3 linked regions of the Mus musculus genome follow. The protein of the gene in region 2 interacts with the protein of the main gene of each other region in a pairwise test. Links are inferred from orthologs where the notes say so. Each region holds a gene or a part of one and is shown on either strand. Other genes may lie near its edges.

Region 1 (4,171 bases), on a different chromosome or scaffold from region 2:
CAGTCAGTTTCTGCTGGATGTTTGTAAGCTCCTGATTTGATGACACCACCTTCCAGTCATCACATTTGCTGTTTGTTCTTTTACTTGAAAGCCTTACCCTAAGTGATCCTCTGCTCCTCAGGGACTCTGTCAGAAAATCCATCAGAAGGCCTCAGTGGGCCTTCCTCAGTGGGTTTCTGCTAGAGGCTTTAATGCCCAATTTGACGTTTTGCTATATCAATCTATCACCTATCTATCTGTCTCTCTGTGTCTATCAATCATTTATTCATCCATCATTTGTTGTCTATTCTTTTTTAAGATAGATTTATTTATTATATGTATATGAGTACACTGTAGCTGTTTTCAGACACACCAGAAGAAGGCATCAGACCCCACTACAGATAGTTGTGAGCCACCATGTGGTTGCTGGGAATTGAACTCAGTACCTTTGGAAGAGCAGCCAGTGCTCTTAACTGCTGAGCCATCTCTCCAGCCCCTGTTTATTCTTTTATTTTTAGCTCACTACATATTTAATAAACTCACTCACTCCAAACCAAGTATGTGGTTTTTTTCAGGCCACACAGAATGCCAGGGCAGACTAGACTCCCAATGCTTCTACATTCTGCACCTTAGTGTAGAGACCCAAACTACTGCTCAAAACAGGTAGGGGCTCGCGGCCCCTGGTCAGCCTGCAGGCTGATCTCATTTACTTACTCTGTTGTTTGAGCAGCTTGTTGACATTCTCCAAGCTGTTCTGTAGTCCTTGGACCTTTGTGTTCAAGGCGCTGGCTTTATCCAGATCTCTTTTCAGTTCTGGGATTTTGGCACTGAGACTGTCAACCTCTCCCCAGCTCATTGTTAATATCTGGAGCTGATCATTGGCTATCTTCATGCTGGTTTCCAAAGACAGGATCTGAGAACGCACCCTCTTGAGGGTGGTGTTCACTATCTGCATCTGAACCTCAGCATCGTCCACACGACCTCTTTCAGTCTTAAGATCAGAACCCAGGGTGCTGATGTTGTCCACACGACCTTTCAACATCTGGGCATCACTCTTCACATCCAATATTTTGCCCATCAACCTAGGATCTAGATTTGAGACAGTCAAGGGGTCAGCTGAGGGGTTCCTGAGCCATGGAGATGGAGTGTTGTCCAAAGGAAGGAGAAGCTGCAGGATCAAGACAGTCCAAGGAACTGCCACCCACTCTCCATCCATTCATCAATATGCAGCAAGTATGCATTAGGGGCTACCACACATCATGAACGCTGGTTGGCACAGGCAGTGAGGAGACCAAGAGTCCTCATGAAGAAGCAGAGGGAGATCCCAAACCTGAAATTCCTTAGTGTGGTCTGGGTGAACTTGGTAAAGGGGGTTCCCTTAGTCACTGCCTCATCACTCCATCTCTGGGTCCTCTCTCAGTCTATGAGTTAGTCCCCAGCCATCTCCTGTCAAAGACCCCACCACCAGCTAGGGAAGCACACCCGTCCCTTGTCTGCCCACAGCCTGCTTTATGGCCATGAGTGGGGCCATATACATGTAGACTCCAGAGCATACGGGAGGGGCATGAAGCTCTTTCTGCCCTTCCTTGGCCCTATCTCTCATACTCTACTAAGATCATTGGCACAGGAGCCAAAACTAACCAATAACTGTCAAAGGAGTCCTATGGGATGGAAGATGACTCAGCAGGAAGAACACTTATCCTTGCAGAATACCTTGGTTTACTTCCCAGCATATATGACAGCTCTTGACTATAACTCTTGACTATGACTTCAGTTCTAGTGAAGTCCAATGCACTCTTCACTCTTAGGGCACCAGGGCATGTGGTGCACAAACAGGCAAGCAAAACACTCATATACATATATACAATAAAATGATATTTTTAAGAGAGTCCTATGAGAAAGGAAGTGTTAGAAGGGCCTGGTGGACACACCTTTACTCCCAGCACTCAGGAGGCAAAGGCGAGTGAATCTCAGTGAGTTCCAGGCAGGCCTGATCTACTGGGTTCCAAGCTAGGCAGGGCCACAAACAAAAGGAGAGAGGTGGGAGATAAGAGAAGAGACAAGACTAGTGGTCTAGGATAAGATCAAGGTCAGTGATGTCCAGGAGACCATGCATGTAGATCATAAAAAGAAAAGACATTTTTCCCTGGGCTCTCTAGAGCAGAAGGAAGAGAGGTATGATTTCAGCAGAGGCCAAGAAGCTTCTAGAAGAGGAATAAGAAGGCTCCAAGTATGGACATACTCTTTGCCTGGACAAAGGAGTGCAGAGACTGGGAGGTTTGCTGGCTCGGTTCAGCGCAGAACTAGTATAGTACCGAGTAAATACCTAGTGAGATCAGGAGACATCAAGCTCCCTGTTGGGAGCTAGCAACAAAGCTTTGAATCCAACAATCTGGGAGCTGTGAGTGACAGGAGTCTAAGGGAGTCAAAGGCAGAGATAAAAAGCTTAGTGATTGTTTCTTGAAGACAGAAGAGTACCCTGAGAACAGACATTTTCTAATGCCAGTTATAAGGTCCTCCTAGAACCCAGTACAGAAGGGATAGCAGGCCAGCTTCTAGAAACATCAGGAAAGTTCCTAAAATGTCACAGACCCGAGACACCAAGGACTGTAGCCAAAAGGTTTGGATCCCCAGGGACCAGTTGACTTACAGAAAACAGCCTGAAGCACAATGGAGGTGACCAGCACCAATGCCAGGCAGGTGAAGGCCACGCAGATACAGAGAGGTTTCCTTAGAACTGGAGACAGATCTTGCTTGGGAGGAGGCTCTGGAAGGGGACAGAGAGGTCTGTTAAGGATCAGTGAAGAGCAGTTGTGGGCAGAAGCACCAAGTGGGCATGGAGCAGTAGCTGGTACTTGCCTCGAGGCCAGAGAGAGATGTTCTGTTTGTCCACTGTGAAGTGCGCTTCGGGAGCCTCCTCCTTCATCTCTGCCTCTGGCATAGGAAATTCTCAATATCTGTCTCCCCAAGGACCTTTTTATCCAGAAAGAAACGGGAAATGAGTCAAAAAGCAGGCCACTTTGTCATGCCCAAGTTCCCTGTTCTTGGCTTAGACGATTTGCCTGGCAGAGGCCACAGCTTCATCCTTTTGACTAAGATTTGGGCTTTGATGAGGAAGCCTCCTGACTTCTTCCCTGGTACACAGACATTTTAATCATCTTATCTGAAGACTCTTCTATTCTTGTAAAGAGTCCTTCATCTATCATCCATCCATCATCTATCCACCCACCCTACAAATGTACATTGAGTGCCTTCTAAGAGCTCAACCCAGGACCCCAGAGATGAACTTCTCAGTCTTCTCACTCAGCAGCTTGACACCTGACAGGAAAATGCAGCCCAAGCAAGTAAATTACAGTACAAGATGAAGAACATGGTGGTGAATGAATATGCACTGTCAAAGTACATACAGGGAGAATGTGGTAGAGTGCTGACTGAGGGATGGGTACACTCAGGGTTAAGGGATGGGCACACTCAGGGTGTGGGAAATAAGGCTAATAGGACACTAGGGAACCTGTAGATAGCTCCAGTCCTGTATACATGTGTAATATGTGACAGGAGGTGGGCAAGGGTCTAAAGAACCATCTGGTATCAGGCAATAAGGGTCCTTTTGAAGCATCTTAAGGAGCTTTATCTCCTTGTGAGTTCAGGCAGGGGACTTGAGGACAAGAAAGAGCACTCTGAGGGTATAGGGAGGTAGTTCAGTCAGTAAAGTGCTTGCCATATAAACAGGAGCTGTTCAGATCTCCAGCACCCATGTCAAAGCCAGGTACATCAGCTGGCACCTATACAACCAGGCTAGGGAGGCAAACAAGAGCATCTCAGGAGATCACTGGCCAACCAGACCAGCAAAGAGTGATCTCTAGATTCAGTGAGGGACCCTATTTTCAAAAGATAAGGACTTATGTAGAGGGTACTCAAGGTTCAGAGGAGCTGATCGGGAACTCAGTGAATGAGTAAGTTTTCTCCTGAGAAGTGTTTTGCTTTGAAGAAGCCTGCTATATCTAAGAATGTTGTCCAGGCTCTAAACAAATATTCCTCAGAAGGTAGGAAAGAGAGAAGGGTGAAGAGGAAAGAAGAAAAAGAACAGGGAGAAGATGAAGGAACTGGCACAGATAATTGGATGGAAGGAAGGAAGGAAGGAAGGAAGGAAGGAAGGAAGGGAGGGAGGGAGGGAGGGAGGGAGGGAGGGAGG
Region 2 (4,307 bases):
CAAATGTGATCTTGGCAGGCTTACACAAACTATGTTGTAGGGAAAAATAAGTTAGCAAATTTTGCAACAGTTTACTAAAGACGGCAATAGGCAAATATCATAACCACGGGGAAGATTTGGTTAGAGATCAAACTTTGTATGGTACCTTGTGCACTTAATGTGGCAATGGCCACTTTTGTGCCCAGTCTGGCCCACAGTTCTTTCGGGTTTCAGAAGGACAGACACAAAACCACATATATCCTTGAACTCAACACCATGATTGTACATGTAGGTAGCACAGTATTTGTTGAACTGAAAGCAATTGGTGACAGGGAAGAGTCCAAATGAAAGACTGTATCAGAGCTATGAGCTTCAGGGATTCCAAATGAAAGAATGTATCAGAGCTTCAGGGTGCCCAGTATTTCCCTAAGGTCTAAGCTTTGAATGAACGAAACTTGCATCAATGCTATCATAGAGTTTTCAAACAAACCAAAGCATGGCCTTTTCTGAGGATCTAGACATCTAGGACACAAAGATGCCAAAGCTCGGCAGCTGTTTGGTAGACTTGAGTCATCCTACTTTGTGTAACTGGAAGTAGACTCCCTTGGGTTAGTCTAAGACTACAAGTTTCAAGACCCTGGCTCTCTAGTCCTGCTTCTGACCCTCAGGGCTCCAGCCACAGACAATGTCTATAACACGGTAAAAGGACTATCCATACTGAGTTTTCTTCAGAGAAATAGAGTATGTAGAAAGATGATAAAGAGCAAAGGAAACAGGTATTATTTAATAGTCCATTTTTTTCTTAGATTTTTTTTTTTGAGCCAAGGTCTTTCTATGTAATCCTGGCTGTCCTGGAACTTGCTATGTAGATAAGATCGGGCTCAAACTCATGAAGAGTCTCCTGCTTCTGCCTCCCAACTGCTAGGATTGAAGGCATGTGCCATCATGCCCGGTTATAGATCTGAATTATTATACAGTTGGATTTTATTCGGTGGCACGAAACCAATTTTTACGGGAGTTTTACTTCTGGGAACATTGTTCCTTCATCATAACGAGTGGGAAATATAACACTTTTCGACCTTTTGGTATGACCAAGTGAAGGATGAGAGATGCTAGTTTAAGATGCTGGACACTGGACAGCAAAGAGCTGTCAGAAGGTCAGAGACCCAGGAGAGAATATGGCCACAGCCTTGAAAGCACAGATCAAAACAACTGACCTATCTTCTTCCCAAATTTCCATATAAACTCAATTGACAGAGTCCACAGTAGTGGTTCTCAACCTTCCTAATGCTGCGACCCTTTAATACAGTTCCTCATTTTGGGATGAACCCAACCATAACATTATTTTGTTGCTACTTCATAACTGTAATTTTGCTATCGTTAAGAGTTAGAATGTAAATATCTGTGTTTTCCCAATGTTTTAGACCACCTCTGTGACAGGGACCTTGGACCCCAAATGGAGTCATAACCTATAGGTTGAGAAATGCTAATGGAGAATCTGCAGTCAAGGATGCAGTCCTCATGTGGGACAAAGCTGTGATCCACAAACAAAACAACAACAAAATGCCCGAAGCATGAAATAATGGTAACAGAGAACGAGTCTTCACTATTAGAAACTGTAGTATCAATAAAGCATTGTGGGCTCTCTAACAACTTAATACTGTGAAATCAAAGCAGGCTTATTTAGATATTGACTGTGCCATGGGTTAATGTTTCAGTGATGTGGTAACAGAGCAAGTCAGCAACGAGTCAAAGGGTTTTTTGCTTTTAAAAAGAGGAACAAGAATAGCAACCGTTTAAAAACCATACCTCTGGGCTATTAAACAAGTGTTCCAAGTAGCAATAGAAAGGAAAGAGTTTCCTTACAGGATGTAAATACTTGTGATGGGAAACTTTGTTTTCGGTTAGAAGATGGTATAGGTCAGATAATGTGCAAATCTAATGTGCACATAAATGCTTTAAGAGGACAGACACAACCATATGGTGGTGGTGGTAGCGGTGTGTGTGTGTGTGTGTGTGTGTGTGTGTGTGTGTGTGTGTGTGTGTAAGGGCACAGACTTTGAGGGGAGGATAAAGGATGCTTGCTTCCGACTACTTCTCTCTTAGGTGGAAACAGTGGGGAAAAATGAGGAGAGCTGACCCCGAGCTCTGAGTCAAATTAAATACACATCATTGTGAAAGTGATCAACAGATGAGCTCCAATAACCAAGGGCGCCTGGATCTCCCCAGATGTCATTCAGATTTAAATAGGAGGACTGAGCAAATTTTAGCACGGACTTTTGACATGGCTCCAAGATTTGACGAGTTTCCCTAAACCTCCCTGGGGAATTAGGAAACATCAACTATAATTTCGGATCCAATAATTCTCATCATCACCGGATTGCCGGATAGACAATGCATTCTTCGGTGAGGAGAGGAAGGGAGGAGGCAGGAACGGAGAGAGGGAAAGAAAAAGCTGGAGACGAAGGGAGAGAGGGAGGGATACATGGACACACACGGACACACGGACACACACAAGGCGGGGGGGTAGGGGGAGAGGCAGAGACAGAGAGACAGAGAAAGAGACAGACACAGAGAGACAAAGACAGAGACAGAGAGATTAAGATATATATAAGGGCTGTCTCTACAGAAGTTCAGAAAGCCTTTCCCAGTCTGAACTCAGGCTAACAATTCGGTCTGGGCGCGTCGCGTCCAGTAGAGGTCACTTACTGGGCCGGGCCAACTTTGCCTTCTCTCTTGGTGAGCACTTTGGCTGGCTTGGCGTCCTCCACCTCTTGCTGGAGCTCGGTCATCGGGGCCGCGTCCCGGGCGTACCCCAGCACTCGGCTCCCTATTCGGGGCTCCCGGCTCCCAGCTCTCCGGCACCCTAGCGCTGCGCATCCAGGCGGCGGTGCTCCCGGGCCGCCAACATGGACACGTTGGAGCCGGCGCGATTGGTCCGAGCTGGGCTGGGAGAGACCAGAGGGTGGGAAGGGGAGGGTCGAAGCAAAGTGACAGCCCTTTTCCCCAACCCACGAGACAGAGGAGGAGCAATTGGAAACCTGTTGAACCCGTCTTTCTGGGAGAGGACGCTAATTGGCCAAGCAGTCGAAACATTTGCCTAAGACACAACACAGTAGCCGCCTGCTGTTCTAGGTCCTCTCAGTCTCTCCAACCCAGCGAGTATTAGGGGCGGGGGTGGGGTGGGGGAGTAAGCCGGGGTAGCCGGGAGCTGCGGTGCAGGAAGTGAACCGCATTGTGTGGTGGTGGCTCACACTAGTGCCCTGAGGACCGGCCCACTTCCTCGCCTAAATTTTGCACATGGAGTCTGATCTCACTGAAGACCGTCTCTCCGAGCTAACAATAGAGCCCCTCGGTTTGTCAGGTAGGGACAAAGGGAATGAATATTCACCAAGTTAATCCCTTCTAGTTCTTCAGTGGGAAAGAGATGGAAGAGGCAGTAAAACAATTATCCAAACTTCCTTAGCTATCTTGGCTGGGCGTGGTTTGGCTGAATAATATTCCATTACCACATATACATCTTCCATAGTAGATGTTGTGTTTTTATTTCTCCACGGATGGACACTTGGGCAAGTCCCACCTTCCGCCGTTCTGAATGATGCTACTGTGAACCGGTGTCCAAGTGTCTGTTCAACTCCCTGCTTCCATTCCTTTGGATGCTTATCTAAAAGTAGACTTGCTGGGTCACGTGGCGCTCTGTGTTTAACTTTCTGCAAAGCCATGATCAGGCTGTTTTGATGCATGAGTAGGGTGAGTATCCTGGGTAACCCTTACAGCTGAGTTAAAGAGCGCTCAAACACTCATTCTTCAGCATCGCTGACTAGGACTTCTGAAAGGCAGAGGAGGGGTGTGTGTGTGTGTGTGTGTGTGTGTGTGTGCGTGCGCGCGCGCGGGGGGGGGGGGAGTCATAGAGGTGGGTTGTGGGTAAAGTAGCATAAGGAGTAAGTGCCCTGCATTATTTTACTTGGTACATTTTTAATTACATCACCAAGCTAATTTGTTTATTCTTCCAGCTCTTGTCTTTTCTAATCTTATAAACTCTATTATATAAATTGCAAATAAATAACATCGCACACAGAAAGTAACCAGAACCAAACTCTATACAACTCAGTAAACTTCTCTGCAGCTAGAGCTGGCATTCTGGCTGGGTATGAGTGGTGCATGCCTTTAGTCCCAGCAGAGGCAGGTGGATCTCTGGGTTCCAGGCCAGACTAGACTACAGAGCAAGTTCCACAGCAGCCAGGGTTACACAGAGAAACCCTGTCTTGAAAAAAGAACTGGCATTTGGAACAGAAGCTCTGAAACTCCACATTCAATTTTACACTTTC
Region 3 (4,493 bases), on a different chromosome or scaffold from region 2:
TGTTCATCACCAAGAACAGAGACTAAGCCTGAATCCTGGCTCTGCCATCCACTAGCTGTGGGCCTTCCATTTCCTCATGGGTAAAGTGGGGGTGAAAATCCCAAGCTTGGGGTGGTGGCTCAGTGCTGGGGCCTCATAGGCACCTGTGGGAGTTACAGCTAATAGGAACATTATCAGATTTCTCCATAACTGAAACTAGAGCTGCCACCCAGACTGTGGGTGTGGATGAAAGTCACAGAGATACAAAGTGGTCACCTGGCAGGTACCTCAGAGAGCCAGGCCCCTTCCTGCCCAGTATCCAAGGATGGATTTGAGACAGAATCCTTGAGCATATCAAATGCCACTTCTTCTGGCTGCTCTCCACTGTTGGCTCAGGCCTGCTGAGGACACCCACTGTATCCAGAACAATACCATATAAAACTCAGTTGAGACAACTGTTGCAGACAAGAAGACAATCTCAGCCAGCAGGATGCCCACAATAGCATATTCATTTGTTACAGGCCAACCATGGGCTGGCTCAACGGTAAAGAGACTACTAATACCCATTTCACAGATGAAGAATTCGAGACTCTGCTTAGGTTATCTGCCTGGATCAATAACTTGTAAGTACTGAGTAGATGTTCAACTCAGGCAGGCCCCTCTACCCTAGACTGTCTTCTTCATCACTTAGCTGAAATTGAAGCTGAAGAATGGAAAAAAAAAAGTCCTGTGTTCCTGCTGGCTCCCCTTAAGGCCAGGAAGGAAGGGAGGCCAGGAAGATGTTCCTCCAGCTGGGAGAGAGGTGAGGTGGGAAATAGCATCTATATGTATATACCTGTGTATATGTACACTTATGTATCCTAAGTAACACATTCCACTTCCAGCATACTGGGCTGAGAATCAATAAATGATGAATCAATGGGTGGGAACATACTGGGCCTGGATATTGGCACACCAGGGTTGGAATCCTAGCTCTGTTGCTTTGGAACCTGGCAACATGTGCTCCACCTCTCTGGTCCTGACTCCTCACTTGCTGGTGATAATACCTACCTGACAGGAAAGTTGTTATACTGAACTCAGGAGCTTTTGTTCCACTCACTGTCTTAAGATTTTTCTTGCTTACCCTGCCTGGTGACTCAGCTACAGTATGGATGCTTTGGTATTGTCTCTAGGCATGACACAGCCATGGTCATATTGAGACCCAAATAGCTTAGATGAACCCCTCACATGATCAGGCATGTTCCCTGGAAGAGTGGACGAGGATCTTTATACCATCACCTGAGATTCTAGCCTCTCACCTCCTCCTATGTCACACCCCCAGCAGTGTACAGTACTGCTAGAGGATACAGGAGACAGGGGGCTAACAGAAGGGACGGCACACACCTCCATCAGTCACCCAAGATAACCTCTTTGGTTCACCAAGATGGAGTTGGTCTATGGCTATCCTGCTGACATTAATAAAAGCTCAAGTCTTCCCAGGAAAGTAATATAACAATAAATGGACAAAGACATCTGAAGATATCCCATTGTGTCTATGTTTGTTAGTGTGAGAATCCAAGATGGTCTCTGCCTACCAAGACTGTGTGGGCTAGCCTCTAAGAGTAACTTTTTCAAGGATTAAGTACCTCCCATGTACCAGGCTCTGTGCCCAGCAACCTTCCTCAAATTTCAAAGTAACTGATCCCATGAGAGAGTAAACCCAAAGGAGTTAGAGTAGAAGAATCTGGATTTGCCTCCGGGCTTGTCTCCAAAGTCTGCCCTCATCAGCACCTTCCCAGGCTGGGGATGTAGCATGCCAAGCTGGCTACGAGCCCCCAAGCAGGTGTCTTCTTCTGGGGAACGGTGAGATATGACGCTGATGAGATGGATCAGAAGGGGTCTGCCTGCTCTTGCCAGGCTGGCCTGCTGGTTGCCTTCTCCTCTGGCTCCAGTGCAGCATTCCTAACCTTTGGTTCTCTTCCCCTGCCAGGGCCAGACAATATGCCAAACAGATATTGCTTGCACAGTGGGTGAAACAAACTCCGGCCTCCCAGGAGGTGAAGTCTGCCGGACTGAGGAGGGGCCTGGGAAGAGGGTGTAACAGGCCCAAGGAGGGCTGTAGTGACACTCTACCAAGGAGGGAGTAAGGGTGTGCCTGGGGCTGGCAGTGCTCCTGAGATGGCTTCAGAGGCGCTTTCACCAGAGGCACTGGTGACTCACCGGCTTCTCCCACACCCAGTCCCCTAGTAGGTGGTGTTGCTCCGTTTGTTGAATGAATGTTAAGATTCACTAGGAAAATTCTTAAGGACTAGTTGCAGTAGGAAGAGGCCAGAGGTCTGGGTGAACTATCCTCAGCTAGGGGCTCTAACCAAATCAGTGCACCAGGAACCCGGCAGCAGAGAAAAGTCTCCCTCTCCACGTCATCCAGCCAGGCTAGTCCAGCTACAGTAGCATCACACAGCCTTTGAGTACACACCCCCTAGGGAGCGAAGACCAAAGAAGCATTTGCTGGACAGTTCCACCTGGGCAGGATCACCTCATCAGTCTGCTCACCAATAGACACTTTCCCCGTGGTCCTTCAGTTCCCCAAGTTCCCCAAGTTTCGTATCCCCAGGGGCCCAGAGAGAAACTAGGAGTGGAAGAAGCAGCCGTGCACGAGCGGACTCGACTAATTGCTGAGGCCCACAAACGCGCAGCCCGAGATGGAGAAGCTCAGAGAGCTGAGGGCAGCTGCACCCACTGGGGTAGCACCCCTGTAAGACCCAGCGCGGATCCAGGGAAAAAGCGGCCCGGATGATGGTGTCACCCGGGCATCAGGAAGCACTTACGTTCGCTGCCATGGTGGGCTTGGTTCGCTGCCGCCGTCTTGCTCTATTCCGCTAGGAATTGGGCTGACGACCGGAACGCAGAATACGGTGACCTCCTGTCTGCCACAGAGCTGCAAGACTTCTCGTGGAATCCAGGACCTGGCGGGACGCAGGACAAAAGTTACCGCCCTGCCTAAGCCTCAAGTTGTCTGCGCGTGCGCATCTTAAGGGCTGCTGGGAAATGTAGTCCGACGTCTGACACGTTCGCCACAAAATTACAAACCACTGTATTTCACTGGTGCGCGTGCGCGCTGCAAGATTTCTGGGAAATGTAGTATCGGTCTAGTTGGAGAGGCGCAAGGGCTGCTGGTCAGTGTAGTTTTCGACTGAGAAGCGGTTCTGGTGCTTAGGACGCGCGGAGGCAGGCGCGCGGCGGGCAGGCCTGGAGGGGGCGGGTCTGTGCGGGCCTCAGTGCCACCCGCCAGGCCTGAGAAGCGGCGAGGGAGGTCACGGCGAGAAGGTGTATCCGCTCCAGCCGCGCCCGCTGCCTCTGCGAGCTGCAGAGGACTGTCGGGAACAACCATGTCCTACTGCCGGCAGGAAGGTGAGTCGGGCGCTGCCATGGAGACCGGCCGGGACGGGCCTGCGAGAGACACGCGATCAAGTGGTCTCCACCGAGCGGCTGTGGGCCCTTTAGTGGGCCTCACGCGGCGGTTTCCAGACGAGAGAGGCAGAGGCTCCGTGAGGAACGAGGCCGGTCCAAGGTCAAGGTGAAGCCCGAACCCGGGCCTCGGAGGGCCTCACGTGGGCCTGGCCAGTGTGGAGCACGTTGTCTCTGGCTGGGAATCGGGGACTGTTAGGAATTAGACACCGTCGCTCCTAGCACTCCCCACGTGGTTCTATCCCGCCCAGGCTTTTTAGCTATCCCGAAAAATTACCGCTTGGGCTAGAGTGGGCGTGCTGAAGTGCATCTGGCAGGAGCATTTAGTGAGCGCCTTCTGTGTACTAGGCACGCTTTTAAACTTAACGTAGCCATTTTTATATGTCGGGTTCCCTTACTGTCCACGTCTTATCAAACGGAAAATTAAGACAGGTTACTCGATCCAGGAACCCACATCAGGTCACGAAACCGGGACCCGCTATGAAAGAGCTTCCTTTCTTCCGTCATTTCTAGCCACGTTGAGGACCACTCACTACCTGTTGTTACCTGTAAGCAGCAACCCAGAAGAATCCAGACCAATCTGTTGCTCTAAGGTCTCCCAGCACTGACTGGCTTCTTATGTCTGAGCTGCCAAACCCGCCAGGCCCTAGTTTCCACTCCTGTAAATTGAGAGATCAGGCGTCATTTACTCTGGTATTCACGAAGCACGTGCCCAAGGCAGGAAAGAGTTGGAGGGCTCTTGAGAATACAAAGCTACAGAGAGACTTGGTTCACCCAGAATTCTCAGCTCCTTTACTCTTAAGTCTAGAGAACATGAGGTACAAAGGAGGAAGTGATCCACCCAAGGCCATACATCCAGTTAGAAGGCCCCAGTCCGCTGTAGAACCCCCTCCTTCCCAGCATCATCATTGGTGCCTCTCCCGAGGACTGTTTCTGTTGGTTAGCACTTGGTGTTCCGCATACGAAAGTCCTTGACCCAGCACTGTTAGGCGGATTCCTAGGATGACTTTTGTTTCCTCCAACCTAGTTGGTAGGTTGATGACGAGTCTTTGAGTTAAGGAGGCTAT

What was found.
Region 1: the proteins of Gramd3 (region 2) and Cd207 interact in binary tests that used the Homo sapiens proteins (3 or more experiments, as listed by UniProt). The two-hybrid records come from large-scale screens. The link is inferred for Mus musculus from reciprocal best matches to the Homo sapiens genes GRAMD2B and CD207.
Region 3: the proteins of Gramd3 (region 2) and Tmem43 interact in binary tests that used the Homo sapiens proteins (3 or more experiments, as listed by UniProt). The two-hybrid records come from large-scale screens. The link is inferred for Mus musculus from reciprocal best matches to the Homo sapiens genes GRAMD2B and TMEM43.

Annotation. Positions count from the first base shown.
Region 1 is NC_000072.6:83,674,880-83,679,050, forward strand, and holds the start of Cd207 (C-type lectin domain family 4 member K), read right to left. Parts: upstream 2,979-4,171; 5' UTR 2,921-2,978; coding exon 2,839-2,920; intron 2,747-2,838; coding exon 2,630-2,746; intron 1,069-2,629; coding exon 694-1,068; intron 1-693. UniProt on the Homo sapiens protein: Calcium-dependent lectin displaying mannose-binding specificity. Induces the formation of Birbeck granules (BGs); is a potent regulator of membrane superimposition and zippering.
Region 2 is NC_000084.6:56,430,739-56,435,045, reverse strand, and holds the start of Gramd3 (GRAM domain-containing protein 2B), read right to left. Parts: upstream 2,915-4,307; 5' UTR 2,772-2,914; coding exon 2,689-2,771; intron 1-2,688.
Region 3 is NC_000072.6:91,472,192-91,476,684, reverse strand, and holds the start of Tmem43 (transmembrane protein 43), read right to left. Parts: upstream 2,979-4,493; 5' UTR 2,799-2,978; coding exon 2,787-2,798; intron 1-2,786. Other genes in the region: Chchd4 (mitochondrial intermembrane space import and assembly protein 40), read left to right, coding at 3,348-3,369. UniProt on the Homo sapiens protein: May have an important role in maintaining nuclear envelope structure by organizing protein complexes at the inner nuclear membrane. Required for retaining emerin at the inner nuclear membrane.